Anolis sagrei: one gene and its partners. The protein of the gene in region 3 interacts with the protein of the main gene of each other region in a pairwise test. Links are inferred from orthologs where the notes say so. Each region holds a gene or a part of one and is shown on either strand. Other genes may lie near its edges.

What was found.
Region 1: the proteins of WT1 (region 3) and WTAP interact in binary tests that used the Homo sapiens proteins (3 or more experiments, as listed by UniProt). The link is inferred for Anolis sagrei from reciprocal best matches to the Homo sapiens genes WT1 and WTAP.
Region 2: the proteins of WT1 (region 3) and HMBOX1 interact in binary tests that used the Homo sapiens proteins (3 or more experiments, as listed by UniProt). The link is inferred for Anolis sagrei from reciprocal best matches to the Homo sapiens genes WT1 and HMBOX1.

The regions. Positions count from the first base shown.
Region 1 is NC_090021.1:68,270,113-68,280,577, forward strand, and holds the start of WTAP (pre-mRNA-splicing regulator WTAP), read left to right. Parts: upstream 1-5,773; 5' UTR 5,774-6,019; intron 6,020-6,177; exon of another isoform or gene 6,178-6,447; intron 6,448-9,369; 5' UTR 9,370-9,377; coding exon 9,378-9,407; intron 9,408-9,499; coding exon 9,500-9,555; intron 9,556-10,262; coding exon 10,263-10,321; intron 10,322-10,465. UniProt on the Homo sapiens protein: Associated component of the WMM complex, a complex that mediates N6-methyladenosine (m6A) methylation of RNAs, a modification that plays a role in the efficiency of mRNA splicing and RNA processing.
Region 2 is NC_090021.1:8,090,790-8,101,150, forward strand, and holds the start of HMBOX1 (homeobox-containing protein 1), read left to right. Parts: upstream 1-5,669; 5' UTR 5,670-5,825; intron 5,826-9,292; exon of another isoform or gene 9,293-9,384; intron 9,385-10,361. Other genes in the region: INTS9 (integrator complex subunit 9), read right to left, coding at 5,354-5,362. UniProt on the Homo sapiens protein: Binds directly to 5'-TTAGGG-3' repeats in telomeric DNA. Associates with the telomerase complex at sites of active telomere processing and positively regulates telomere elongation.
Region 3 is NC_090021.1:257,605,624-257,616,077, forward strand, and holds the start of WT1 (Wilms tumor protein), read left to right. Parts: upstream 1-5,958; 5' UTR 5,959-6,354; coding exon 6,355-6,787; intron 6,788-10,454. UniProt on the Homo sapiens protein: Transcription factor that plays an important role in cellular development and cell survival. Recognizes and binds to the DNA sequence 5'-GCG(T/G)GGGCG-3'. Regulates the expression of numerous target genes, including EPO.

The sequences.
Region 1 (10,465 bases), about 190 Mb from region 3:
AACCAGTCGGTTGTTCAGTGGTCAGTTCTTACTGTTGCCACTTGGTCCTTGTACATATTCCTCAGGAGAGAGACAAGGTGGCTTGGTATGCCCATCCCACCAAGAACGTGCCACAATTTATTATGATCCACCCAGTCAAAGGCTTTAGAATAGTCAATAAAGCAGAAATAGATGTTTTTCTGAAACTCCCTGCCTTTCTCCATTATCCAGCGGATATTGGCAATCTGGTCTCTCGTTCCTCTGCCTTTTCTAAACCCAGCTTGAACATCTGGCAACTCTCGCTCCATGTATTGCTGGAGTCTTCCTTGCAGGATCTTGAGCATTACCTTACTGGCATGAGAAATAAGGGCCACTGTACGGAATTTTGAGCAGTCCTTCGCATTTCCCTTTTTTGGTATGGGGATATAAGTTGATTTTTTCCAGTCTGATGGCCATTCTTGTGTTTTCCATATTTGCTGGCATATGGCATGCATCACCTTGACAGCATCATCTTTTAAAATTTTAAACAGTTCAGCTGGGATCCCGTCGTCTCCTGCTGCCTTGTTGTTAGCAATGCTTCTTAAGGACCATTCAACCTCACTCTTCAGGATGTCTGGTTCTAATTCATTCACCACACCATCAAAACTATCCTCGATATTATTATCCTTCCTATACAGATCTTCTGAATAGTCTCGCCACCTTCTCTTGATCTCTTCAGCTTCTGTTAGGTCCCTGCCATCTTTGTTTCTTATCATACCAATTTTTGCCTGAAATTTACTTCCAATGTTTCTAATTTTCTGGAAGAGGTCTCTTGTCCTTCTTATTCTGTTGTCTTCTTCCACTTCCATGCATTGCTTATTTAAAAATAGTTCCTTATCTCTTCTGGCTAACCTCTGGAATTGCACATTTAACTGGGTATATCTCCCCTTATCACTGTTTCCTTTTGCTTTCCTCCTTTCTTGGGCTACTTCCAGTGTCTCAGCAGACAACCATTTTGCCTTCTTGGTTTTCTTTTTCTTTGGGACATACTTTGTTGCCGCCTCCTGAACAATGTCACGGACTTCTGTCCATAGTTCTTCTGGGACTCTGTTTACTAAATCTAGTCCTTCAAATCTGTTCTTCACTTCCACTGTATATTCGCTAGGAATGTTAGTGAGATCATATCTAACTGGTCTGTGTATTTTCCCTGCTCTCTTTAGTTTTATTCTAAACTGAGGAATAAGAAGTTCGTGATCTGAGCTACAGTCAGCCCCAGGTCTTGTTTTCACCGACTGGATGGATGTCCGCCACCTTTGGCTGCAAAGGATGTAATCAATCTGATTTCGGTGTTGACCATCTGGTGAGGTCCATGTATAAAGCCGTCTTTTAGGTTGTTGGAAGAGAGTATTCGTTATACACAAAGGATGTAATCAATCTGATTTCGGTGTTGACTATCTGGTGAGGTCCATGTATAAAGCCGTCTTTTAGGTTGTTGGAAGAGAGTATTCGTTATACACAGCGAGTTTTCCTGGCAAAATTCTATCAGCCTGCGCCCCGCTTCATTTTGTTCTCCCAGACCATGCTTGCCTGTGATCCCAGTTGTCATTTGACTTCCCACCTTGGCATTCCAGTCTCCTGTAATGAAAATAATGTCTCTTTTTGGTGTATTATCCAGTAGGTCCTGCAGATCCTCATAGAACTGATCTACTTCTGCTTCTTCAGCAGCTGTGGTTGGGGCGTATATTTGGATCAATGTAATGTTGAAAGGCTTTCCTTGCACTCGAATTGAGATCATTCTGTCATTTTTTGGGTTGTATCCAAACACTGCTTTAGCTAATTTCTTATTAATTATGAAGGCTACTCCATTTCTTCGGTGTTCCTCTTGTCCACAGTAGTAGATCTGGTGGTCATCTGATGTGAAGTGGCCCATTCCAGTCCATTTCAGTTCGCTGACCCCCAAAATGTCTATCTTTAGTCTTGACATCTCACCAATAACAACATCCAATTTGCCCTGGCTCATAGATCTTACATTCCAGGATCCTATGGTGTGCTGATCTTTAGCGCATCGGATTCGTCGTTCACCTCCAGTACCGTCGGCGCTAGCCTTCCTTTCGGCTTTGAGCTAGCTGCGTCGTCACATCTGAGGCTAGTTGAACTTATCCTCTGCTCCTCCCCAGCAGCATTTTGACCGTCCCGTCTTGGGTGGCCCTTCACGGTTTCGCTCATGACATCATTGAGGTGCTCAAGCTCCAGCGCCACGATCCTTTGCTGGAGATATATTATATTACATTATATTATATTACATTATATTATATGGTTAGCATAGCATAAGAGACAAGGTGGAACTGTCCCCTGGGCCCCCCTCTCTTCACTCTGGCCCAGAGCGGCAGTTGGTGCTTGGGGGAGGGGTCACCAACAGGATGGAACTGTCCCCTGCCCACCCACTCTTCAATCCGAAAGACAGTTGCATATGTCAAGTAGGAAATTTAGGTACCGTTTTATGCGGGGAGGCTAATTTAACTAATTTACAACACCATAAAACCTTCCAGCAGTATGTGCAGGAATGAGGAAGTACTCCATAAAGGATTCAGTGTCACAAGTGGATGGTGAAGCGGCAGCTCCCCGCTGTGGCCAGAATCGAGCATACCCTCATGAAGCCAGAAAGCTGGAATGTTAAACTGCTTCTGTGTCTGTCTATATAGCTTTGTGCCTAAATGGCACTGAAAGTTTGCCACGTATGTGTGCATACGGGACTCTGGGGTGTATGGCCACACAATAAACAGCTTTTTTGCAGTTTTAAGATCCAACTTCCGTGGTGTCCTTCCAAGCCCTCTCCAGTGGAAAGGGGACTCCTGCATTTCGGATTTGGATTTAAGGAGTATTTTGGATCTCTGCCCCTTCATCCCCACTATGCAGAAAAGAAATATTAGGAGGCTGCCATATATAATTTTGGTAGATGAACCCCCTACAGTGTGCCTGCTGTCATTGATGCCGCAGTAGACACTGGGGTTGAGCTGGCTTCTGGCTTTATTACAGTGTTCAGTCTTCACGTGTCGAATGCTGAAGAGGTATCCTTGGGATTATAAAGCTAGCATAGCCATTCATGATTCTGGCATTGGAAAGAGTATTCTGAGTGCCACAGTCTAAAATGGAAACTCTCTCAAGTTAAATTGCTGGGCATGTTTGGTCTGCAGAAGAGAATGTTGAAAAAAGACGTTATTGCCATGTTTAAATAAGTGAAAAGATGTCATAAAGAAGAGAGAGCTGGCTTGTTTTCTGCTGTCTTGGAAACTAGGACTAGGAGCAGGAAATGACAGGAAAGGAGATTCCACTTGAACATAAGGAAGAACTTCCTGACTGTGAGAGATGTTCAACTGCTTTGGGAGACAGTGGTCGGGCATCCGGACAGTGTGGCCGGTCCAGTGGAGTTGATGGTGGAGGACTGTCACTTCATTGCTGGTGGTCTTTGCTTCTTCCAGCACGCTGACGTTTGTCCACTTGTCTTCCAAAGAGATTTGCAGGATTTTTCGGAGCCAATGCTGATGGAATTGTTCCAGGAGTTGCATGTGATATCTGTAGATAGTCCATGTCTCACAGGCATATAGCAGGGTTGGGAGGACAATAGCTTTATAAACAAGCCCCTTGGTATCCCTACGGATGTCCTGGTCCTCAAACACTCTAGGCTTCATTCGGAAAAATGCTGCACTCGCAGAGCTCAGGAAAGTGTTGTATTTCAGTATCAATGTTGACTTTTGTGGAGAGGTAGCTGCCAAGGTAGCAGAAATGGTCAACATTTTCTAATGTTACGCCATTAAGCTGTATTTCTGGCATTGGAGAGGGATTGGCCAGTAACTGCTGGAAGAGCACTTTGGTTTTCTCGATGTTCAATGACAGGCCAAGCTTCTCGTATGCTTCTGCGAAGGTGTTTAGAGTGGCTTGTAGATCTTCTTCTGAATGCACAGATGACGTTGTCATCAGCATACTGGAGTTCTATAACAGATGTTGTAACCTTGGTTTTGGCTTTCAGGCTGCTAAGGTATTAGATTAGAATAGTTTTGATTAGGAAATGTGTGTGGGTAATCATGCTGTCACTTTCTCTTCTTTCTTTCAATGTTGATTAAATGCAACGGCAACATGTTAGGACAGGCTTGCCTCAACAGTACTTTCTGTTGTGAAATTTAGTTTGCTGAGCAAACAGGCTTTTGACAAGCTACTGTTTCTCTCCTTGAGCTCTATTTCTTCAGTCTGAGATAATTCCCACATTATTGACCACAGATAATTAAAAATTTACTCATAAATAAATGCATAGTAGTCATGATAAACTTACATCGCTTCTGTAGATTATGATTAACTGCCAAATTAAGGTGAAGTGCTTGTGTCATCAAGTGAAACATTTAGAGTAGTTAGTAAATCTACAACCAGGAATACTTCTGAACTTTGTTGCTTATTCATTCAGTTGCTTCCAACTCTTTGTGACTTCATGGGTCAGCTGTTGCCACCCGCAGCTCCCTCAAGGTCAAGCCAGTCACTTCAAGGATACTCTCCATCCACCTTACCCTTGGTCGGCCCCTCTTCCTCTTTCCTTCCATTTTCCCCAGAGTCATACTCTTCTCCAAGCTTTCCTGTCTTCTCGTTATGTGCCCAATGTCCTTCATCTTTGCCTCTAATATCCTTCCCTTCAGTGAGCAGCAGGACATTATTTCCTGGAATATGGACTGGTTTGATCTTGCTGTCCAAGGCACTCTCAGCATTTTCCTCCAACACCACAGTTCAAAAGCGTCTATCTTCCTTCACTCAGCTTTCCTTGTGGTCCAGCTCTTGCACCCATAGGTTACTATGTGGAATACCACTGCTTTAACTATGTGGATCTTCATTGCCAATGTGATGTCGAGATTGGTCATTGCTCTCCTCCCAAGAAGTAAACATCTTCTGATTTCCTGGCTGCAGTCTGCAGTAATCTTCACTCCTAGAAATACAAAGTCTGTCACTGCCTCCATGTTTGCTTGTTATCAATCAGCCATAATCTTGGGGTTTTTTTTGTTTGTTTAACTGCAACCCAGCTTTTGCACTTTGTTCTTTCACCTTGGTTATAAGCAAAATGTTAAAGCAATGTGAACAAAATGTTAATACCAAGAAACCACCACTTTGTGAGCACTACATAGGTAATCAGGAATGGATTAAGAATGCCTTTGGAAATCAAGCCCTATGAAATTTAGGGTGTTGGGTATGTTATGCTTTAAGAAAAGAAGGCCAAGAAAATACTTGATAATCGGGTTGTTGTAGGTTTTTCCGGGCTCTATGGCCATGTTCTAGAGGCATTTTCTCCTGAGGTTTCGCCTGCATCTATGGCAAGCATCCTTGATAATCATTTTTTAAATATTTGAAAGAATATCACATATTTTCTTCTACTCTAGAGACTAGGGCCACTTCCAAACAGCTATGGCCTAAACATTAGGAAGCACTTCCTAATTGCGAGATCTGTTCAGCAGTGGAACTCCCTGCGTCTGAGTATGGTGGAGGCTCCTTCTTTGGAGGCTTTTAAACAGAGGCTTTGAATGTGATTTTCCTGCTTCTTGGCAGGGGCCTGGATCGAATGGCCCACGAGGTCTCTTCCAACTCAATGGTTCTGATTTTAAACCCGGTACTGCATGCACTATGAATCCAGGCAACAGCCCTTCTCCGGCAGCCAAAAGATTCCTCCCAGGGCAGACGGGACTGATATCCCTCCGCGCTTCTGGTGTTTACTCCTGCAGGTGGCCAGATGGCCCGTTGCGGATCCTTCCGCCGCTTCCCTCAGCGCCCCAGCATGCTTTGCGAGTGCGCACTCTGGCGGGCGCGAGGAGGGAAGCAAGAGGCGCGCATCACGCCTTTCCCCCGGGGCTCCCCCCTCCCCCTCTGCAAATCTTATTTACTTCCCCTTCTCAGTGCCGAGCGCAAGAGGGAGTCAAAGGCCTTGACTCAAACACTGTTAGGACGCAGGGCGGGGGAAGGGGAGAGGAGGGCGGCGGCCTGGAAGAGCGCGAGACGAAGGACTCCCGTCCGTTGGTGGCTGGCTGGGCCGGTAAGTGCGGAGGAGGAGGTGGCGCGAGGCGGCGCGCGGGCGGGGCTGGGGAGGGGAGGGGGGAGTAGCGCGCGCAGGCAGAGGGAGCGAAGGGGCGGGGCCAGGCCCGCTTTGAGGGCTGCCGGCGGTTCCTGCTTTTTGATTGGACGAGGCGCGGAAGGGGCGAGGCGGCTCCTCTCGTTGCGCTCTCGCCGGCGCCATTTTGTAGCGCAGCGGAGGAGCCCCAAATATAAGAACGGGCGGGAAGCGCGTGCGGTGCTGCAGCCCCCCCTCTTCCTCCCCCCCCCAACCGGGAGGGTGAGAAGAAGCCTTGCCTCGAGGCTTCCGGCTCATTGATGCGACAGAGAAACCCTGCCTCAGGGGAAGTCGGTTGAGGGGGAGACGACGAGTGAGGACGAGGACGCCTTCGCGGCGCCGCCTCCACTGAGGTGAGGAAGGGGGGAATGAAGGCCCGACGCTTCAGGGAGGAAAAGACGACCGTTTCGCAAGATGGAGGCTGGGGAGAGGGGGGGGGGGGGCTCTGCTCTGGCGCTCCTGCGGCGTCGCCCACCCTCCTCTTTGGAGGGCCCGAGGCCGCCACGCCCGGAAGCGTTTCTTCCGCTTCCCGCAAAACACAGGCTTGTTTACTAGCGCGATAGGGATGGAGGGGAAAGGGCCTTACGCCTCGGCCTTGCCATCGACATCCAAAGAACGCCAGTTACCTTTAAAAAAGCCTATACGAACAAGCCTTTTGCGAGAATCTCTTGGTGCCACGATTTGGACCCACGCAGCGCCTGAGTTTTATGCTTCTGCGAATAAAGGCCGTGTGGATGGCTTATCTGGGAATCAAGAGTTACCCTCGTTTGCCAGTTTTCTTTAAAATAGTGATCTTGCTGTGTGCTTACTCAGGCAAAGGCCCGAATGGCCGTATTTTATTAGCCAGAAAGGAAATGACAGCTTGGGTTGTGTTCAGACGTTCATTTAAAGATGGGACCCATTTAATCTTTCCCCCACTGACATCCTTTGCCCGACCAAGTTTCAAGCAGGAGGCTATTATTGGGATACTAAATCCAGTGTTCATATTATGATTACGCGACTGAGGGGAAAAAAGGAAAGGGCCAGAGGCTGTTAGGAATTGTGGGGGTTGAATTTCAACAAAACACCCGGAGGGCCCAAGTTTGCCCATGCCCTGGTCTAATATCTAAATAGTAATAGCTGCATTGCCAGCAAATAATGCATAAAAATAGTATTTAAAGAAACCCAGGGTGGTCTTTAGGCTTTCTTTCAGACTAAGCAATTTTCATTGTAATTTATTTACTTACTTGACTTGTATACTGCCTTTCTCACCCCAGGGAGGGACTCAAAGTGGTTTCCAACTTATTTATGGCAAAATTGAATGCCTCACATACATATGAAACCTAACCTAAAACAACAATAACATGTAACTATTGATTTGGTCATAAATATGTAACCACATTTAAACATTAAAATGTGGAGTTAAAAACATATTAATATAAATGGTAAAATCACATAATCCAAAAATCATGGTCCAAGGCCGTTTCAAATATCAGGTGTACACAATCCCTGATCATTTCTTGACATTTACAGATAAATTATGTTTCAGATTCCAGGTTAGTATATGCTATGTTTATCTGACAAGACATGCAGCCTGCAGTTTAAAGTCTCTACCTACCATAACTGAAAATATTTCTTCAGTGGGCAGCCCTAAATGTAATGCTTGTGGCAGCTTGCACTCACATTAAAGGACTAGTGCTTACATATTAATACAAATATATAATACAAGTCCAGCCATTCATATATAGAACTACCTGTGCCTTGATGCTGCACCTATACAGACCAATGGTATTAGTTTACGATACACCTGAATGAACAAATATGCATTTATGTAATGTAGCATTTTAATACTGCCAAGACACCATGCCTAGGATTGTTGTGTTGCTTGGAGAGGGATGCTAAGCGTAGATCAGATTTTTGGGTATGGATTTTTTTAAAAATAAGAATAGTATATTGAAAAAGCAGTCTAGTCTCAATACAGTATTTTTGCACTCAACAAGTTGCAGTGTTCGTTGGACCTGTGAGATTGACATATGTGGCTTAATAGCATCAGATAAGTAGAGACCACATACACTTCAGTTAGCTCACTTATCAGCAATGTAACACTGACAACCAAGTTTTGTTAGTCAATGTAATAAAAAGGGGTTAATAAAATATTATTTCTGCACTAAATGACTACTTTTGCATTCAGAGATAGTAGGCTTTCAAAGTTATATCCAGTTGTGCCTGTCCACAACCAGGAAAGATGCTGCTTAAAAGAGAAGGTTTCCCTTCTCTTTTATGTACCATATATATCTACTTCAGAGAATCTTCTATTCGTTGTTGCCTTGCCTCACATGCCAAACAGAAGTAGAGTAATATAGGGTGGTTTTAATTTACTATAAACAAAGGTAGGCTTCCACAAAGCTACCGCACAAGCAACATTCTGCAATTTAGAGATCTCTTTTAGGAATAACCAGTCTTTACTTGAATACAAGACTTTTGAAAGTATAGTGTTTAGATAAAAAATATTACTGGCCTTTTGTGGACAAGTAATCAGATTCTATTAACAAAATTGGAAGTGGATCTAATTTCCCATTCCACTGTAGCATTCTTCCCTCCCTCATCTTGAACATCCTTAAAACATTTTCTAAAGAACTGGGAAAACTTTGGATGTGATTTCCCTGAATCGCAGTAGGATGTATTCATTTCTGCATATGCAGTTGGATAATAGATAATTAATATATACTAAGGAATACTTTGGGCAGCAAAAAACAAAATAAAATTTATTGGATATGGAAATGTATTCTCAATCTCATATATTGGATGGGCCAAAAGTCTCGAAGGACCTTCAGTATTTAATAACTTGTTTATTTTTGTTACCATACATACCATCATATACAGTATGCTTATAGACAAATGTTTAAAGAGTACAGAATTTTAAAAGAATCCTTTAGGTTCATGTGGATCAGTGGTTCTCAACCTGTGGGTCCCCAGGTGTTTTGGCCTACAAATCCCAGAAATCCCAGCCAGTTTGCCAGCTGTTAGGATTTCTTGGAGTTGAAGGCCAAAACATCTGGGGACCCACAGGCTGAGAACCACTGATGTAGACCTTCAAATTATTTATTTAAATTTAACCTAAACACTTGAAATGTGCTGGGAAACAAGCTCTCACCCTCAACCCTCTTATATGTACATTGGTTATTTACAATAAGTTATAGAGTAGTGGGAGTGAAGTTTTAATTTTTAATGTGGTGTGCAGATGTTTACTATCTTTGTAAAAAGACCAAGTAATGCTAGTGTCTCCTTTTTCACAGAATCCACAATGACTAACGAAGAACCACTTCCAAAGAAGGTAATTACAGTTTTTAGACATATGTGTGCCTGTTCATCTCTTCATAAAATATCAGGGGGAAAGTATTGAAAGTTATTGTTTTTGTTCTTTAGGTTCGCCTCAGTGAAACAGACTTCAAGGTTCTCCCTAGAGAGGAGTTGATCTTAAGGTAAAGTAATGGGTGAAACAGTACTTTTCTTACTATCTTGTTCCTATTTTGAATAAAGTAGAACCAAGTTCAAAATAACATTCAGTCTTGAAGTTATTTAGGCAGTGTTGATTTATAGAATTATGTCCACTTCTGTCCAAATTCATTATGTTCACAATAACATTTTTTTAAAAAAAGTACAGTGCCTATCAACAGACAAAAAGCCCACTGTTATTAAAGATCTAAGTGATTTTCCTGCTATCTAAACCTGCTTTGGGTGATAGCAAGTCAGGTCTTACTCCCTCAGTAGGAAGTTCCAAAATCTCAGAATTTTCACTTTGAAATCTGAGTATATGGGTCCTGTGTTGAAATTGTGATTGTCATCAGGTAGACAAAACCAGAACATTTGTAGCTCCTGTCAACAGCAGCCTTCTTCAGGAAACACTAAATCAGCCAAACCATGTAAAAACACTTCTCATTCCATATTATATCTTCTATACTCTGTTATTGGTAGTAATATGTGTGGTCAGATTTTTGGCAAACAAAAATACAGTAATATGTTTCAGTTTATGTATTCTTAATTCTGAGATCACATATAGTTCGTAATACTTGGTTGTAAACAGTTTTTGTAATGAATTTTATGATGTGTATTTGAAAGCATTCTTATATGTTGACGTGTGCATCATACTTCAACATCAAAAGTTAGAAACATTTTTTCAATTCTTTAGGTGGAAGCAGTATGAAGCATACGTACAAGCTCTGGAGGGAAAATACACAGACCTTAATTGTAAGTTGAAACTCCACTAAATGTGTCATCAGATTTGAGTGACTTTTAAGAAACAGAAATGATAGTAAAAGAAAAAGGAGCTTTGGGGAATTATTTGGAGAAACACATAAGTACAGCCAAAAAATTTCTTCTAAAGACTTGTGC
Region 2 (10,361 bases), about 250 Mb from region 3:
TGAGTGTTCATTTAGAGCCTTTCAGTTGGCAGGCGCTTGGGGATCCCCTTAAGAAAAGAGGCATGGTCACGCAACCATTTAAACTATTGATGCTCCTACAGCCCTTGCAATTTTGCTAAGTGGGAAAACATTACCCACCATGAAAAACATAAAGGACCGAGGAAGAAGAATGCCAGGTCCGAGTTTCTCCAGCACTTACTGGAGAAACTTCAGAGATTCTCATTATACCAGTATATTTAATGGTAAAGCAATTAAGGTGTGGTGTGGATGAAAGAGAAAACCCTGCAATACAAAGAGGGTGAGAGTGAAGTTAAGGAAAGTTTTCCCACATATAGAAATATACCGCTCCTGGATGCTATCTGTTTATGATGAGGCTGTAGAAAAGGAGACAGAGTTATGCAGACCTCCAAATATTCTTGGACTGTAACTACTTGTTATAGTCTAAGCTGGCTAGGGCTCTTGGAACCTCAAGAGTAGTCATGGGCCCAGTATTTGTCTCATTTGTTTATTTCATGTTTTTGTTTCGTACCTTTGCCACCAATAGGCTGAAAATATTCTTTTTCGGACCTTGGATGGAAAAGCTCATTTGGAAAGGCGCTTGTTTTTGGGATAGGTGCTTGAAATTAAGACTCATCCCACCAAATGGGGAAGGAGTTGCAAAATTAAAAACAGAAATATAAAGGGAGATATGTGTGTGTGTGAATCATCTCTTCCTCCCACATTTTATTATTATATTATTATACTTACCTTATTTATTTATTTATTTATTTATTATCATCTCTTCAACGGTCTGGAGAACAAGCCCTATGAGGAGCGGCTTAAGGAGCTGGGCATGTTTAGCCTGAAGAAGAGAATGCTGAGAGGAGATATGATAGCCATGTATAAATATGTGAGAGGAAGTCACAGGGAGGAGGAGGGAGCAAGCTTGTTTCCTGCTTCAAACTACAAGAGAGGAGATTCCATCTGAACATGAGGAAGAACTTCCTGACTGTGAGAGCCATTCAGCAGTGGAACTCTCTGCCCCGGAGTGTGGTGGAGGCTCCTTCTTTGGAAGCTTTTAAACAGAGGCTGGCTGGCCATCTGTCAGGGGTGATTTGAATGCAATATTCCTGCTTCTTGGGAGAATGGGGTTGGACTGGATGGCCCAGGAGGTCTCTTCCAACTCTTTGATTCTATTATTCTATGGTTGTTAATGTTTCTTCCAGTAATTTTCATCCCGCCTTGCATTCCTCAAGCCCCGCACATGTGTTCTGTATACAAGCTGAATGGGTTGGGGGAGAGTATACAACCCTGCCGTACACCTTTCCCAATCTTGAACCAGTCTCCTGTTCCGTGGTCAGTTCTGACTGTTGCTCCTTGGTCCTTGTACAGATTCCTCAGGAGAGAGACAAGGGGGCTTGGGATGCCCATCCCACCAAGAACTTGCCACAATTTATTATGATCCACACAGTCAAAGGCTTTAGAATAGTCAATGAAGCAGAAGTAGATGTTTTTCTGAAACTCCCCGCCTTTCTCCATTATCCAGCGGATATTGGCAATCTGGTCTCTCGTTCCTCTGCCTTTTCTAAACCCAGCTTGAACGTCTGGCCACTCTCGCTCCATGTATTGCTGGAGTCTTCCTTGCAGGATCTTGAGCATTACCTTACTGGCATGAGAAATAAGGGCCACTGTGCGGAAGTTTGAGCAGTCTTTCACATTTCCCTTTTTTTGGTATGGGGATATAAGTTGATTTTTTCCAGTCTGATGGCCATTCTTGTGTTTTCCATATTTGCTGGCAAATGGCATGCATCACCTTGACAGCATCATCTTTCAAGATTTTAAACAGTTCAGCTGGGATCCCGTCGTCTCCTGCTGTTTTTGGGATAGGTGCTTGAAATTATAACTCATCCCACCAAAAGGGGCAGGAGTTGCAAAATTAAAAACAGAAATATAAAGGGAGGTGTGTGTGTGTGCGAATCATCTCTTCCTCCCACATTTTATTATTATATTATTATATTGACCTTATTTATTTATTATCATCTCTTCCTCCCATATTTTATTATTTTTATTATTTTACTGACACAAAAACAGTATGTCACAGCAAACTGGATTTCGTATCACAAAATCACAAGTCAAACATTTCCCAAGCGTCTGGGATTTATTTATTTATTTATTTACTTTGCTTCTATACCGCTGTATCTCAAGCCCGAAGGCGACTCACAGCGGTTCACAAACAGTAAAAACAGTAGAAACAGCAGTGGTGCCATGCAACATATAACAATTGACTTAACACATTATCCATAAATTACCAATAAGCAATTACAATGCACAATTATTACGAAAAACAACCGTACCCAATCTTCTCATCATCCAAGCGTAGTCCAGGTTCGTCGTCCATTGTTCCATTCCTATGTTCCATTACCAGATTGCACTAAATTACTCAAACGCCTGCACAAACATCCAGGTCTTCACCTTTTTGCGGAATACCATTAGAGATGGTGCTAGTCTAATGTCCGTAGGAAGGGCGTTCCACAGCCGAGGAGCCACCACCGAGAAGGCCCTATCTCTCGTCCCCGTCAGCCGAGCTTGAGAAGCAGGCGGGATCGAGAGCAGGGTCTCCCCGGAAGATCTCAAAGTCCTGGTGGGTTCATAGGCAGAGATGCGGTCAGATAGGTAGCTTGGGCCAGAACCGTTTAGGGCTTTAAAGGCCAACGCCAGCACTTTGAATTCAGCCCGGTAGCAGATCGGTAGCCAGTGGAGTTGGCGCAACAGGGGGGTTGTATGCTCCCTGCGCTCCGCTCCTGTTAAAATCATGGCTGCCGAGCGTTGGACTAGTTGGAGTTTCCGAGCTGTCTTCAAAGGCAACCCCACATAGAGAGCGTTGCAGTAGTCTAAACGGGATGTAACCAGAGCCAAGTCAGACTTCCCAAGGTATGGGTGCAGCTGGCGCACAAGCTTTAGCTGTGCAAATGCTCCCCTGGTCACTGCCGAAACCTGGGGTTCCAGGCTCAGCGATGAGTCCAGGGTCACACCCAAGCTGTGAACCTGCGTCTTCAGGGGGAGTGCGGCCCCATCCAACACAGGCTGTAACCCTATGCCCTGTTCGGCCTTGCGACTGACCAGGAGGACCTCTGTCTTGTCTGGATTCAATTTCAATTTGTTCGCCCTCATCCAGACCGTCACAGCGGCCAAGCACCGGTTCAGGACCTGGACAGCCTCCTTAGTAGCAGGTGGAAAGGAGTGACAGAGTTGGACATCATCCGCGTACAGATGACACCGTACCCCGAAACTCCGGATGATCTCCCCCAGCGGCTTCATGTAGATGTTAAACAACATGGGAGACAATATTGAGCCCTGAGGAACCCCACAAGACAATGGTTGTGGGGTTGAACAGGTGTCCCCCAACAACACCTTCTGAGATCGACCCTCCAGGAATGACCGGAGCCACTGCAAAACAGTACCTCCAAGACCCATCCCCGCGAGGCGTCCCAGAGGGATACCGTGGTCGACGGTATCGAAGGCCGCTGAGAGGTCCAGCAGCACCAACAGGGACACACTCCCCCTGTCGAGCTCCCGGCGCAGATCATCCACTAAGGCGACCAAGACTGTGTCAGTTCCATGCCCCGGCCTAAAGCCAGACTGTGCCGGGTCTAGATAATCCGTGTCTACCAAGAATACTTGGAGTTGTGAGGCCACCACACGTTCCAAGACTTTGCCCAAGAAGGGGAGATTGGAAACTGGCCGATAGTTGTCGAATTTAGTGGGGTCCAGTGATGGTTTCTTCAACAGCGGTTTTATTATAGCTTGTTTTAAGCTCGCTGGAATCTTGCCTTCCCGAAGGGAAGCGTTAACCACCACCTTAACCCACTCAGCCAATCCCCCTCTGGCCTCCTTTAGAAGCCAGGATGGGCAGGGGTCCAGGATGCATGTGGTTGGCCTCATTCCTCCAAGTATCTTGTCCACATCCTCGGGTTTCACCAATTGAAATGAATCCATCAAAACTGGACAAGCAGGTGCTCATGTTACATCCTCAGAGACTGCCATTAACATGGTATCCAGACCAGAACGGATCAAAGCGACTTTGTCTGCAAAGAACTAAGCAAAAGCTACACAGCGAGAAGTCGAATCGTCAGGGTTCCCACCTTGAGTGGTGGGATTTAAAAGGCCTCTGACAATTCGGAACAGCTCAGCCGGATGGTTCTTTGCAGACGCAATAGTAGCCGCAAAGAAGGCCTTCTTTGCGGCTTTTATTGCCGCGGCATATGCCCTTAAAAAGGACACAAACCGTGTTCGATTTGGCTCACTCGGATCCGAACGCCACACACTCTCTAGTTCCCTCTTCCTTCGCTTCATCGCTGCCAGCTCCTCGGTGAACCAGGGATTGTGTGATGTATTTTCGAATTGATGCGTATAGATCCAAGTCAGGTGGCCTTTTGTAGTTGACAGGTCGTGATTTTGTCAATGTTTATTGTTTCCAAATGCTGGCTGAGATCTTTTGGCACAGCACCCAGTGTGCCAATGACCACTGGGATCACCTGTACTGGTTTTCGCCAGAGCCCTTGCCATTCAATTTTGAGGTCCTGATCACGGCTGAGTTTTCCTGTTTTTCATTGTTTTTCCTCAATGTGACTGTCTCCTGGTAGGGTGACATCAATAACCCAACAGTTTGAGGGACTGTGATCTGGCCCTCTGTTTAAAAAGTTCGAGGACCCCTGCCCTAAATGGTTCTGGTCCAATTTACCTGTACGAATGCATCTTCCCTTATGAACCATCTAGGACTTTAAGATCGTCTGGGGATGCCCTGCTCCGGGTTCTGCCTTCATCAGACGAAGAAGACTAAGCTTTCTACAGGAGCTCTTGGTATTACGTCCTGCACGAAAGGCTTCTCTGTGTGGACTGAATCCCAAATGACTCCTATTCCCTTTGTTGTTCATTCGTTCAGTCGTCTCCGACTCTTCGTGACCTCATGGACCAGCCCACGCCAGAGCTCCCTGTCGGCCATTACCACCCCCAGCTCCCTCAAGGTCAGTCCAGTCACTTCAAGGATGCCATCCATCCATCTTGCCCTTGGTCGGCCCCTCTTCCTTTTGCCTTCCACTTTCCCCAGCATAATTCCCTACAAAACCCAAAAAGGGGGCAGGGCCAGGGAACCTAACTATAATTGACAGGTGGCTTGCCCTATGATTGCAGCCAAAAGAAGCCACCTATCTGCAGAGTCCCTGAAACTTAGGACTACAACAAACATTCTGTGCAAAGCAAACAAAATTGGAGCTCCTGGTACAACTGTACCTGCACAGTTGTACTGGATCACACATCGCACAATTATTATTATTATTACTATTTAAAACTTCCTCCAAAGTCCTCCCAGACTCACCAGCTTCATGCTTCACCCCAGGCTCTGTTTGTGGCATGCAGTCTCTTCCTTCCTGTTTCCCAACCGGAAGTGCTTCCCGAAGCATCCTGGGAAGTGTAGTCCTTCTCTCAGCCTCCTAATGATTCAGGAGAATGAAGTCATGGGCGGCCATCTTGTCCTGCCAGCAGCAGAGCACGCCGGGAAGCGTAGTCTCTACTCCCTCCTCCCCGCCTCCCTCCTCCAACCGCCGTCTAATCAGCGTCGGCGCAAGGCATGCCGGGATGGGTAGTTCCCAGCGGCGACTTGGCGCCTGCACCCTGGGGGAGGCGGAACTACAAGTCCCAGGGCCTCCCCGCGGCGGCAGGTGGGAGCTTGGATGTTGATATCAACATGGCGCTTGTCAGGCAGACAAAGGCAGTCAGGCTGGTCTGATTGAGGGCAGGGAAGCTTCCCCTCAACTTCTCCTCTTCAGGGCTCCAGAAGAAGGCTCCAGGTGAGGCCCATCTTATGCTAGGGCAGAAAATCAAGAGTTGTTTCTGAAAGGAGATTTTGGAGGAAAAGGGAAAGAAACAGGAGAGATTTGGAAGGAAGAAAGTGGCTCCTTCCCAAAGTGACTTTGTGGGGAAATGTCAACAGAGTTTTGGGGAGGAAGGACAAGAAGAGGTTGGTTTTCCTCATTCTCTGAGGAAGAGAGGCTTCCTCTTTGTGGGATATAGATATAGAGAGAGAGTTTAATCTATCTATACTATATACACATCCCCTTTGCAGGGGAAGGTTTGTTTTCTTCCTCTCTGAGGTAGAAATACTTCTTTTGAACTAGCTGTTTTGTGGGATATATATTTATAGTATAATATGTCTATATCTATTATATATAAATCATATATCTCTATCTATATCCCCTTTGCAAGAGAAAGAGATAGTTCTTTTGAAGTAGCTATTTTGTTGGATATAAATTTATAGTATAATATGTCTATATCTATATATATATATATATATAGAGAGAGAGAGAGAGAGAGGGGGGGAACCATATATCTCTATCTATATCCCCTTTGAAGGGGAAGGTTTGTTTGCTTCCTCACTGAGGAAGAGATACTTCATTTGAACTAGCTATTTTGCTGGATATATATTTATAGTATAATATATTTATATCTATAATATAGATAGATAGAGATATATAACCAAGGGAAGGTTTGTTTGCTTCCTCACTGAGGAATAGATACTTCTTTTGAACTAGCTATTTTGCTGGATATGTATTTATAGTATAATATATTTATATCTATAATATAGATAGAGATATATAACCAAGGGAAGGGTTGTTTTCTTCCTCACAGAAATAGAGAGACTTATTTTGGACTTGCAATTTTGTGTGATCTATATCCATCTATCTATATAGTATACTGTCTCTCTATGGATATATATAGTATATTATATGTATATCTATCTATATCTATATATCTCCCCTTTGCAGGGGAAGGTTTGTTTGCTTCCTCACTGAGGAATAGATACTTCTTTTGAACTAGCTGTTTTGTGGGATATAGTATAGTATATTTATGCTAACCCTTCCATTGGGAAAATAGCTTATTATATTTATCTATCTATCAATATATCCCCTTTACATGGGAAGGTTTGTGTTCTTCCTCTCTGAAGAAGGAGACTTCTTTTGAACTAGTTGTTTTGTGGGATATAGTATAATATATCTATGCTAACCCTTCCATTGGGAAAATAGCTTAGAAAGAAGATACAGTATTATATATCTATACCTATCAATATATCCCTTTTGCACATGAAGGTTTGTTTTCTTCCTCTCTTTTGAACTAGCTGTTTTGTGGGATATAGTATAATATATTTATGCTAACCCTTCCATTGGGAAAATAGCTTAGAAAAAAGATATAGTATTATATATCTATATCTATCAATATATCCCCTTTGCATGGGAAGGTTTGTTTTCTTCCTCTCTTTTGAACTAGCTGTTTTGTGGGATATAGTATAATATATCTATGCTAACCCTTCCATTGGGAAAATAGCTTAGAAAGAAGATATAGTATAATATTCCTATATCTATATATCCCCTTTGCAGTGGAAGGTTTGTTTTCTTCATCACTGAGGTAGAGAGACTTCTTTTGGACTAGCTCTTTTGTGGGATATAGATATCTAGAGAGAGTTTAATCTATCTATAGTATATATACATCCCCTTTGCAGGGGAAGGTTTGTTTCTTCATCACTGAGGTAGAGAGACTTCTTTTGAACTAGCTGTTTTATGGGATATAGTATAATATATCTATGCTAACCCTTCCGTTGGATAAATAGCTTAGAAAGAAGATATAGTATAATATTTCTATATCTATCAATATATCCCTTTTGCACAGGAAGGTTTGTTTTCTTCATCACTGAGGTAGAGAGACTTCTTTTGGACTTGCAATTTTGTGGAATATATATCTATAGTATAATACATCTATATCTATCTGCACTGTAGTTATATATGTGTGTGTGTGTATAATACGCTCTCTCTCTCTCTCTATATATATATATAGTATATTATATCTATATCTATATATCTCCCCTTTGCTGGGGAAGGTTTGTTTGCTTCCTCACTGAGGAAGAAATACTTCCTTTGAACTAGCTATTTTGCTGTATATATATAGTATAATATATCTATATAATATATAGATATATTATACTATATATATATACAGCAATATATATATATATAGAGAGAGAGGGATAATCATATATATCTGTCTATATCCCCTTTGCAGGAGAAGGTTTGTTTGCTTCCTGACTGAGGAAGAGATACTTCTTTTGAACTAGCTATTTTGTTGGATATATATTTATAGTATATTATATCTATATCTATCTATCCATATCTATATCTCTCCCCTTTGCAGGGGAAGGTTTGTTTGCTTCTTCACTGAGGAAGAGATATTTCTTTTGAACTAGCTATTTTGCTGGATATATATTTATAGTATAATATATCTATACCTATGTAATCATATATCTTTATCTATATCCCCTTTGCAAGGGAAAGTTTGTTTCCTTCCTCACTGAGGAAGAGATACTTCTTTTGAACTAGCTATTTTGTTGGATATGTATTTATAGTATAATATATCTATATCTATAATAGACAGATAGATAGAGATATATAACCATATATCTCTATCTATATCCCCTTTGCAAGGGAAGGTTTATTTGCTTCCTCACTGAGGAATAGAAACTTCTTTTGAACTAGCTATTTTGTGGGATATGTATTTATGGTATATCTATCTATCATCTATATCTATATAATCATATCTCTATCTATATCCCCTTTGCAGGGGAAGGTTTGTTTTCTTCCTCTCTGAGAAAGGAGATGTCTTTTAAACTAGCTATTTTTTGGATATATAATATAATATAATATAAATCCACTTGCAGGGGAAGGTTTGTTTTTCTTCCTCTCTGAGAAAGGAGACTTCTTTTGAACTAGCTATTTTGTTGGATATATACATAATATAATATAAATCCACTTGCAGGGAAAGGTTTGTTCTCTTTCTCTCTGAGAATGAAGGCTTCTTTTGAACTATCCGTTTTATTTTCTGTTCTCTATATGTATTTGCAGGGAATAGAATACAAAAGGGTTATTTTCTTCCACTCTGTGGATGAGACTTCTTTTGGACTATCTATTTTGTAAGGTTTGTTCTATCTATTACGTATGCATGCATGCAATTTTTTGCAGGGGAAGTTTTAAAAGACAAGGAGGCGGCTGGCTGCCTCCCTCCTTCCCTCCCACCCTCTCTTTCCCCTTGAAATGAATGCTGTCGGGCAAAGAGATGGAGAGGAAACGTCTCTTTTGGGCGCCTGCTCAAGATCACTCTCCTTGTTGCCTCTTAACTCACTTTGAAGGCTCTTCTCCTGTACAGGAAGGAGCTGGTTTCTTTCCCTCCCACCTCCCCGCCTGCAAAATCTGACATTATTAAGTTGTGATTGCTCTTTTCTGCATCGCGCGAGACGGAAAGAGAGGGGATGGCGGTGGCTCTTCTTCTAGGTTAATTGCTCCGAAAGGGAAAACAAAAAGGAAGGTATGATCATTGTCTTGGATTCTCCCAGCCATCTGGAGAGGCTGGGCTCTTGTCGCGGATGCCCAGATAACATGAAACTCAGCCAGGGAGAGTCATCTCAGTCTGACGGACAGGATTGTTTCCCAACAGATCGGTTCTTTCGTAGGTCAAGGTTGCCGTCCCTCAGGGTATGAGAAAAGTCAAGCAGGGACACACTCGGTTTGTATGTCTACTCAGTGCTGTGTGAATAACATCAGCAAAGTGTCTTGGTTTTGACTGTTAACATTTCCAGAACTTGGTTTTGAGTGATGGTAGATGATTTGTGGTGGATACTTCTTTTCTGCTGCAGAAGAAAGCACATTTTTGTCTCTGTTAGGAGAGGGAAGATAATGTATTCTGTCTTGATGGCCTTGAAGAGCAGTTGTTTTTTTCTTGATTTAAGCAGTCTTTAGCCAAATTGCTGAAATAATTATGACTGTATTTCCTCGATTCTAAGGTGTATGCTTCTCCTCATGTAAAACCCTCTAAAATGGGATGCATCTTAGAATCATGGCTGCTTTTTTTACATATAATAAAAGCTTTTTCTCTTGGTGTTACTAAAATTAGTGCATGTCTTACAATTAATGGTGTCTTAGAGTAGAAGAAGCATGTTATTATTTTTGGGGAGAGAGTGAGGGCTTTATGCATGCTGTATTTTATTTGGGAATTGATTCCAGCCTTGAATGAGATGATTGATGCTCAGCTCACTGGCAGCCTTTACTGCTGCTTCATTAAACCTAAGCTCCTGGTTTTAACTAAACTTTAATAGCTTCTGTTTCTCACAGCACACTTAAACCAGGTGAAGAGTTTTGACCTCTTTACCATGCGGGTTGGACTACCTGTTGGTTTTTTTCTAGGGTTTGGGCATGAGAATTCCAGTAAAGTATATGCGTTTAGAAATTGAGATGGTGGCGGTATCGGAAAAGGGCAGAGAAGTGGCAGGGGAGGGGTGTTGCGAG
Region 3 (10,454 bases):
ATCTTCCTCATTCGGATTTTAAAAATAATCCTAGAAAATAGATGTTTTTGTTGTATCGGTTCGAGGTCTTCCTCTGGACAACCTCTTTTGCTCTAGAACAATAGAGTGTCAGCAGTTCCAGACCTTCCATACTGGCCCAGAGTGGATCTACGTGTAGCATTGATGAAGTTTCACTCCACTTTATCTGTCACGGCTCAGTGCTATGGAATCATGGAAGAGTCACAGAGTGCTGGTGCCTCGCCAAACTACAACGGCCAGGATTCCATAGTACCGAGCCATGGCAGTTAAAACTGTATTAATTCTACAGTGTAGATGTGCAGGAATAGAACTAGGGGCAACCTCTGAAAATGCCTGCCATAGATGTAGGCGAAACGTCAGGAGAGAATGCTTCTGGAAGATGGCCATACAGCCTGGAAAACTCACAGCAACCCATTTTGTTCTTTGCCTCAAGATGAAATATGTCTCTGGTCTTCTATGTCAGATGGAGTTGTTCCCCCCCCCCCCCCCCAAAAATCTTTCCCCTTTCTCGTTTCCCATTGAAGCGAAGCGCCTCTCTTTGGAGGAAAAGAGGCCCGATTTGGCACTCTTTCCTTTTGACCTGGGAAAAATAATCTCACCTGTTGATAACATGGAGTGGTGGTTTGATACTGCGAGGACGACAGTGTTATTGCTTTAGGGGAGTTTTTACTTTAGGGGAGATGCGTAAGCGGCTGAGGGGGAAAAGGAAGGGGCCTGAGGCTGTGAGGAATGGTGGGAGTTAGAGTCCAAAACACCTGGAGGGCCCGAGTTTGCCCATACCTGGTGTAGATGCATCCGTGGACACTATAAACCCATCAGCCGAATTAAAATTTCAGGGCAGTACAATATCTCACATATGCTTAAAACAAGCAAAGGAAAAATGACTACCAAACATTCCGCGTGCATAAACTGTCACTGGTGTTCTTTTTTGGGGGGGAGAGGGAACATTTCTCCATGAATTGTGGATGTTATTGTGGTGATAAGGTCATCCTGAAATTGTAGATGCTGCCCTTTTGATGTACCAAGGAACCCGGTCCCCAAGAGAGTGCTCTGTTAACGAGGGGTCTTTAATACTCGCTGAAAAATTGCAAGTGACACCAGAAGAGTGATTTGCAACCTTTTGCTTCCTCTCCTGTAACATACACCAGTAAGTTTATGGCACTGGGATTTTCTTCCCCCTGCTCGGAGCTGTCATCGGAGCCAGATGCTAGAAACAGCCCAGCCTGCCATCTTCAGGCTCGCAATAGTCACAAGTGGGACTCACCCACTTCCACGGGCCTTTTCACAGGAAAATGTGTGGGTGAATGCCAAACTTGTCGCCATCCACATCTACGCTGTGGAATTGATGCAGTTTGACACCACTTTAACTGCTATGACTCTTTGGAATCCTGGGTTTGTACTTTTTTTGTCAGGAGCTACTTGAGAAACTGCAAGTCTCTCCTGGTGTAAGAGAATTGGCCGTCTGCAAGGATGTTGCCCAGGGCAGGCATGTAGCCGGGGGGGGGGGGGCTCGGGGGGCTTCAGCCCCCCCCCCCCCCGAAATTCTCATGGTGGTTCGCGAAAAGGCCTTACTGGTGCATTATTTAAACTGTTATGTTTATTCATATCATGATCTGATCACCATACTCAATATATCCCATATGCATGGGGGTATTGGGGTAATGATACAAAACGTTTGCTAGGTAGACCCTCTTTCACTCAGACTCAGCCCCCCCCCAAAACTCAGCCATCCCCCGAAACCCCCCTTGACATTTTTTAGCCCCCCCCCCCCCCCGAAACGAAATCCTGGCTACGGGCCTGGCCCAGGGGATGACCAGATGTTTTGATGTTTTACCATTCTTGTTGGAGGCTTCTCTCATGTCCCCGCATGGGAAGCTGGAACTGACAGATGGAGCTCATCCGCACTCTCCCTGGATTCAAACTTCTGACGCACAAGGGCAACTGGGGCTCCAGAATTCTTCTGCTAAGGATCTTGTAAAAATGTGCTGTCGAAGGCTTTCATGGCTGGAATCACTGGTTTCTGTAAGTTTTCCGGGCTGTATGTCCATGTTCTAGAAGCATTCTCTCCTGACATTTCGCCTGCACCTGTGGCAGACATCCTCAGATCTTGTGAGGTTTGTTGAAAACTAGGCTGGATTTTCCACGGATATATAAACTCCACTTGCCTAGTTTTCAACAGACCTCTCAACCTCTAATGATGTCTGCCATAGATGCAGGCGAAACGTCAGGAGAGAATGCTTCTGGAACATAGTCATACAGCCCTGGAAAATTCACAGCAATCCTGATCGTGTAAAACTACAACTCCCAGGATTCCATAGCATCCAGGCATGGCAGTTAAAGTGGTGTCCAAATGCATTCATACAACAGTGGAAATGCACCCAGGGTCTGTTTGCCACAACGGTTTACTCTGAGGAAAGTTTCATAACTATGATTTTTTTAAAAGGGATGGATGTGGCCCAGATGTTTGTTTTTTTTTTTGTTTTTTTTTTGCTAGATCGGGAAATCTGGAGCAGAAAAATACACATGTCAGAAGAAAATTAAATAATTTTTATCGCGTCGGAAGGGACTTGGGAAACTAGAAGTCGCTTCTGGTGTGAAATAATTAGCCCTCTGCAGGGACGTTGACCAGGGAACGCCCGGATGTTTTACCATCTTGTGGGAAGCTTCTCTCATGTCCCTGCATGAGAAGCTGGAACTGACAGACAGGAACTCACCCCGCTCCCCGGATTCGAACAGCCGACCCCGACCTTTAGTTCAGCAGTTCTGCTGGCACAAAGGTTTACCCTCTATGTGGGTGAGAAACAAATAAGCAGGAGCTGGCATAAATACATCTCAATGAGCTCTAGATAGGAGGTAATCTCATTTACTGGACACTTTCCTTCCTTCCTTCCTTCCTTCCTTCCTTCCTCCCTCTTTTTAAAATTTCTTCCTTCAGATAACTCAAGTACAGCCAACCTAAAATGAATGTTGGTTCAGGCACGTTTAAATAATTGAATTCAACCCCTTTCCCCATTGTCCGGCATTTGAGCCTCTCCTTTCCATCGAGGAATTTGCAGTAAACTGTTGTCTACATTTGAACCACCCCACCTAAAGGCTCTCTCTGCCCACTATTTCCCAGTTTCTTGTATTTACTACTCATCACACTAGAGAGTGAATCCACTTTAAATCGGTTTCTGTTCCTGCAAAATTCTGGGTTTTGTTGTTTAGTGAGGCTGTTAAAGGCCTCCCTAAACTACAAACCCAGAATTCTGCTAGAGGCAGAAACCAGATTTAAAGCAGATTCATTCTCTAGTGCGATGAGGCCATAGAAGCGTTCTTGCAACCTTGGGCTCATCACGTTAGAACTGAGGCAGTTTGGCTTCATTTGAACTGCCATGGGGCTCAATGCTATGGGGCCACGGGGAGTTGAAAAGTTAATGGCCATGTTCTAGAAGCATTCTCTCCTGACATTTCGCCTGCATCTGTGGCAAGCATCCTCAGAGGTTGTGAGGTTCTTGGGCTATAACAGCCCGAAAAACCTACAACAACCCAGTGATTCTGGCCATGAAAGCCTTCGACAATACATTGAACTGCGTTAACTCTACAATGTAGATGCATTCCCTAGAGCGGGGCTTACAATGTTTAGAGCCTTTGAGTTCTTATCCTCCAAAAAAGTATTTGACTTTCTCAAATAACGTCTTCTATGGTTTAAAATTCCGAATGGTAGGCAATATCACACATGTAAAACCACGAATTCAATACTTTTGCACTCAGACGTTGCAGAGACTTCCTTGGCAAGATTTGTTCAGAAGGGCCGAGAGAGTGTGACTTGCCCAAGGCCACTCGGTGGGTTTCCAAAGTTGAAGACGTTAACCCAGACCTCCCAGAGTCCTCATTCAGATCCGCGCCAAATCTCAGCCCGCCCTTTTTTTTCTTGTTAGGAGCGACTTGAGAAACTGCAAGTCGCTTCTGGTGTGTGAGAATTGGCCGTCTGCAAGGACATTGCCCAGGGGACGCCCGGATGTTTTACCATCCTTGTGGGAAGCTTCTCTCATGTCCCCGCATGGGGAGCTGGAGCTGACAGAGGGAGCTCATCCGTGCTCTCCACAGATTCGAACCTCTGACCTGTCAGTCTTCAGTCCTGTCAGCACAAGAGTTGAACCCATTGCTCCGGAAGTGGCTTGAATCCCGATTGTTATTTTCCATCCCCTGAAAGTTATAGTTGTTTGGTGAAGAACACTAAGGAAAATCCCTCCAATTCAACGCTGTTCAAAGCATTCTACGAGGCTCTTGTTGCCACGGGTGGACGGAATGGGGAAAAGGCTCCCTGGCATTCGTAAAAAGGGACTTTCCCCACTGCGGGCTCTGGGCGAAATTAATTGAAGCTCAATCCTTTGAGCAACATATGAGTCCCACCAGCTCCTAAAATACTTATTCCGCAGTTTATAGAGATGGGATCCACATTGGCAGAACAGTGAAGCGCTTCACTGAAAGCGGGGTCTTCTTATTTTTTACTTTGAAAGGATGGGATTTGGGAAGAGGCCCCAGTGCCTACCCCTCTGAGGTAGAAGGTAAAAAGAACGGAGTCTTAATGTATGCAGCTCAGGTTGGACGCGGACAATCCAATTTGATGAAGCAATCTTGATCAGTACGACTGTCCGGATTTCCACCTGTGGTTGGACATGCAAAGTAGCCTTGGGTGCCTTCCCAAGAGGCATTTCCCCCGTCTACAAGATTTAACTCACCCTCCACCGAGGAAACCCCATTCCCACACTCCTGTCCTCCCTTTCCTACACTAAACCTTCGGAGTCCATGGCCCCGTCTACAAAGCCAGATCAATACCAGATTATCGGCGTGTACTGGAATATATGGCAGTATGACTAATACCATCCAGTGCAAAGCGGATGATCTGGATTTTCTCTGGCAGTGTACTAGGGTTGAATGAAAAGTAATGCCTCCAACCTTCGTAACTCCTCAACAGATGGCAGTACTGGAATGCGTCAGGTACTGGCTCGTTCAGTAGACTCTCCCCTACAGTTCCATTTTGGCGGGAAGCCTTAGCATTGAACGGTTGTGTTGTTAAAGTGCAAAGTATGGAACCTGCGCCAAGGTCTGTCAATACGACTTAAGTAGTCATTGAATTATTGACAGCACAAGGTGTCACCCCAAAGAAGATTAATCAGAGAATGCAAGCTGTTTATGGTGATTGTGTTGATGTGAGTACTGTGCGTCATTAGGCGAGTAAGTTTAAAGATGTTGAGGTGACACTTTCTGCTGTCAAGACTGCACGTTGCTTAAGTCACATTTACCGACCATAACAATCAACACTAAGGCTTCCTGCCAAAATGGAACTGTATAGGAGAGTCTACTGAACAAGCCAGTACCTGCCGCATACAAGTACTGCCATCTGTTGAGGAGTTACGAAGGCGGAGGCATTACTTTTCATTCATTCAGCCCTCTTAGATGGGTTATTTATCCTCCCCCTCAGCAGCCTCCGAAGCCTGAGATCAGACATCATCAAACTGCGGCCCTCCACCTCTTTGGGCCTCCAACTCCCAAAAACCCTAACGAGTTTGTTCAGTGGTCAGGAATTCTGGGAGCTGAAGGCCCAAACAGCTGGAGGGCCGCAGTTTGAGGATGCCTGCCTGAGACTGTCTCTTCTCAGCAGGCGAGGCAGTGGCAGCCTTAGCCTAGGCTTCGTTTGGGAATCCCACCCCAATTCCGAAGGGGAATTCCGAGCGGGAGAGACGTGTGTGTGTGTGGGGGGGGGGGGGGGGAATCGGTGGATTTGGAGAGTGCTGCGTCCCGTGTTGAACACCCTCGGCTTCCTGAGTCCCCGGGAGAGAAAGTGGCGCGGGGAGAGCGTGGTGTCCCGTGGCCGGGTTGCGGCCCTTGAGCTGGAGGGGAGGCCGTGTCACCGCCCACGCGCGTAGGAGGGGGGAGGGGGGAAGAGAGCGTGCCTGGGCCTGGCTCCTCCCCCGCCTCACTTGGCGGAGTTTTGGGGACTCGGAGGGCAAAGCCGGCGCGGCGAGGAGAAGCCACTCTCCTGCTGCCTCCCGAGCACGGAGCTTCCCTGCCTCCCTCCCTGCCTGCCTTGCTTGCTTCCTTCCTTCCTTCGGGGCCCAAAGGGCGACCCTGGAGGCCAACCTCGCCCTGGCGCTGGCAGGGCTGGACCCGGGGGCTGGGCTGCCCGTCCCGAAGGGGCTCCCGAGCAGCGCCGCCACCTCCTCCTCCTCTTCCTCAACTTGGTGCCTCCCTCCGGAGCCCCTCAGCGCCTGGGGCAAGCCTTCCTCCTCTTCCTCCTCCTGCGGCGGAGAGTGGTTCCCTGCGCGGCGCAAAGCGGGCTCGGCGGAGGCCATGGGTTCCGACGTGCGCGACCTCAACGCGCTTTTGCCTCCTCCCCCGGGCAACGGGGGCTGCCCCATGCCGGCGCAGTGGGGCCCCGTGCTGGACTTCCCCTCGGGCGCCGCTTACGGCTCGCTGGCCGGCCCCCCTCCGCCGCCCCATCCTCCGCCGCCCCCCTCAGCCTTCATCAAGCAGGAGCCCAGCTGGAGCGCCTCGGACCCCCACGAGGAGCAGTGCCTCAGCGCCTTCACCGTCCACTTCTCGGGACAGTTCACGGGCACAGCCGGCGCCTGTCGCTATGGGGCTTACGGGGCGCCCCCGCCCCCTCCGCCGCCGCCGCCGCCCCCGCCCTCCAGCCAGGCGCCCCCCGCCCAGGCGCGCCTCTTCCCCCAGGGCCCCTACCTGCCCAGCTGCCTCGAGGGACAACAGGCCCTCCGCAACCAAGGTAAGTGGGGCTAAAATCCTATCTGATCTTGGAAGCTCAGCAGGGCCGACCTTGGTTGGTAGTTGGATGGGTAGCCACTGAGTTGTGAACAAGATAGGTTCAGTAGCAGGCATGAGCAAGCTGGTGCCTTCCAGGAGTTTTGGACTTCAACTCCCACCATTCCTCACAGCCTCAGGCCCTTTCCTTTTCGCTTATGCGGCTGAGGGGGAAAGGGCCTGAGGCTTTTAGGAATGGTGGGAGTTGAAGTCCAAAATACCAGGAGCGCCCAAGTTTGCCCATGCCTGTTCTATAAGCTTGTTCTTAACTTGGATTTGTATATAAGTCGGAACAGGAACAGTTTTTAAGCGTAACTCCAGCCAAATATATATGTTTTGCTCTCTGTGCCTCTGTTCACCAGAGTTCACTGCACTTTCTGTCCCTATGACAACTGGGTTTTTTGGAGGGGGAAATGGCTTGTTGACTGCTCCGTGCAGTTATGCTGGCCACATGACCTTGGAGGTGTCTACGGACAATGCCTCTCTTCACTTCACTTTCTGTCCCTGTGACAATTGGGTTTTGCAAAAAATGGCTTGTTGTGGAAACAAGGATTGGTGAGAAAGCTTCAGCAGGGAATTTCCCTTCCTCTACCACTTCATCACACCAGAGAAAAAAATCAATTTATAATCCGGTTCCTGCCTCCTGCAGAATTCTGGGGTTTGTAGTTTAGGGAGGCTGTTAAAGGCCCCTCCCTAAACTACAAACTCCAGAATTCTACAGGAGGCAGAAACCGGATTTTAAGTGGATTTCTTCTCTAGATTTCTCATCACACTCGAGAAAAAAAAATCAGTCGCCTTCTCAACTCTGAGTAGTTTGTAAGTCGGGTGTTTGTAACTGTAGGCTGTATTTCAGGGAAATCCTCGGGGTCGCCATAAATGGGCAGGCAACTGGTAGGCACACACGCCCGGCAGGATCCATGAAGCCAATGGGTTGCGTCAGCTTTGGCATAATAAGTGGTCTTATTATCCATTCACTCCAACTGGGAGGAGGGATGGGATTTTGCCCAGATCCTCTCTGATTTTGGAAGCTAAGCAGGGGCGGCCCTGGTTAATACTTAGAGGGGAGATCGCCAATTAAAACCAGGCGAGAATAATAATAAAACTTTATTTATACCCTGCCCCATCTCCCAACAAGGGACTCGGAGCGGAGAAGGCACTAACAAATCCATCTGTGACATGTCTTTTGAAATTCATGGAATCACCATCCTCCCAAATCTGCTAAAGACTATCAGTAGTAGAAAAGGAGAGGTGGAGAGGCGACTTAAAGGTGCATCCTCAAACGCAGATTATTATTATTATTATCATCATCATTATTTATCTCCCCCAAGGGGACTCAAAGCGGCTTAACAGCGGATGAGCTCCCTCTGTCAGCTCCAGCTCCCCATGTGGGGACACGGGAGAAGCCTCCCACAAAGATGGTAAAACATCAAAACATCTGGGCATCCCCTGGGTAGTCCTTGCAGACAGCCATTTCTCTCATACCAGAAGTCATTTGCAGTTTCTCAAGTAGCTCCTGACCCCGGGGGGGGGGGGGGGGATTAAACAGAAGCGGAAGAATGGTTTCAAACTACAGGAAAGGAGAGTCCCCTGAATATGAGGAAGAACCCCGGGAGTGTCGTGGAGGCTCCTTCTTTGGAGGCTTTGAAACAGAGGCTGGATGGCCATCTGTCGGGGTGTTTTGAATGCGATTTTCCTGCTTCTTGCCAAGGGGTTGGACTGGATGGCCCATGAGGTCTCTTCCAATTCTAGGATTCTATGTTTCTAGTTTGAACCCAGAGGTTACATTTCGGTCTTCATTTAATTGGGAGGAGCGAGTGGATTCAGCCCCCAGTGTTTATGGGTACCCCCCATGCCCCACCAATTAAAAATAAATTTAAAAATACTAGTTGTGTAGCTTCGAGGGACAGGCACAAGTGAGAAGGTTTCCACCCCTCAATGAGGATCCTCCAGTACCACATTTCTAGCATCATAGAAACACCAGGGCGGGTTGGGGTGAGCTCCCGCCTGTCAGCTCCAGCTTCCCATACGGGACATGAAAGAAGCCTCCCACAGAATGGTAAAGCATCCGGTTGTGCTCTGAGCAACTTATTTGCAGACGGCCAATTTTCTCACGCTAGAAGCGTCTTGCAGTTTCTCAAAGTCGTGTCAATAAAAGCATTTAGGAATACCGTTCAGGCATGCAGAGAAAAGGGCCCGCAAAATGACTCTGAAAACGCGAAGACAGCAAACCACAACAGAGTTCTAGGTGTCAGTGATGTTAAGTGTCTCTCGAAATCTGAGGAATGAAGGAAAACTTCAGGCGGGGGATTAATTCAGGGGAAAATGTCCTTAGGGAACGGGTTGCTGGAGGTGGGCATTTCCCCTCTCCAGCCTGGGGAACTCTCTCCCTCCACCATCCTCTTCCACCAGATTAATAGACAGCAAGGGCTAGGATCATAAAACCTTCCCTTTGGATGAGATCATCCCCGATCTGAAATGTCCCTTGAAGGCTCCTAAGCACGCACAAGGGTTGTGTCAGGCAAAAACTGCCTCAGAAACTCAAACACAGGGGAACTCCAGACAAGAAACAATCAGGAACAGTTGGCCACCTCTCAACAAAGGATTCCCCCAGGCAGGAACAAGTCACACCTAAAAACTGTCAGGTCATCAAAAGTTAATCAAGGTGGGCAATTGAAACATTCACACCTACCGCCAACAGACAACAGTTCTTTCCCCCACCCTGAACTTTCCGCAGATCTATAAACCCAATTTTCCTAGTTTCAAACAGACCTCACAATCTCCGAGGATGCCTGCCATAGATGCAGGCGAAACATCAGGAGACAATGCTTCTTTTATTTATTTATTTATTTATTTATTTACTATATTTGTATACCGCCCTTCTCGGCCCTTAGGCGACTCAGGGCGGTTTACAATGGCAACGATTCGAGGCCCCAAAACACCATAAAACATTTAAAAAAAACATTAACACATAATATTAAACCATAGCAAGAATAGCAGAACATAGCCATACAGTCCGGAAAAACCTAAAACAATCCCCAAACTGCATATCTCAAAGCAAAACCGAAAACAAACCCTGCACTAAATCTTTTAGACCTTTTTTAAAATCAAGGGCTTTAACAGTTGTGAAAACAACTGAGGTGTATATACTAGCAGTACTTGACCCTTTCGCAAAGGGAACCAGGCTAAAACAACGATGGGTGTAGCATCTACATTGCCCCTGGACATCACTTCCACCACCACGACTCAATGCTATGGCGTCCTGAGTGGGAGCTGTAATTCTGCAAGGTCATTAGCCTGCTCTGCCAGAGTACTGGTCCCTTATCAAACTACAACTCCTATCATTCCATAGCATTGGGCCGGGCGGTTAAAGAGGTGTCCAATTGCATTCATTCTACACTGTAGATGCAAGCTGGATTGTGAATGGTAGCTTTGCATTTAGCGTTTGGAAGAAGCCTGATTTAAAAGGTTGTGGATTTAGTGGTTTGAGGAATCGAGGAGGAGCCACAAGGCTCTTTTTTGGTGTGTATGTATGTGTGTGTGTATATATATTAGAGGGAAAGTGTGTGTGTGTGAGTGGATGGAGATATATATATATATTTTAGAGGGAGAGAAAGTGTGTAATATACATATAT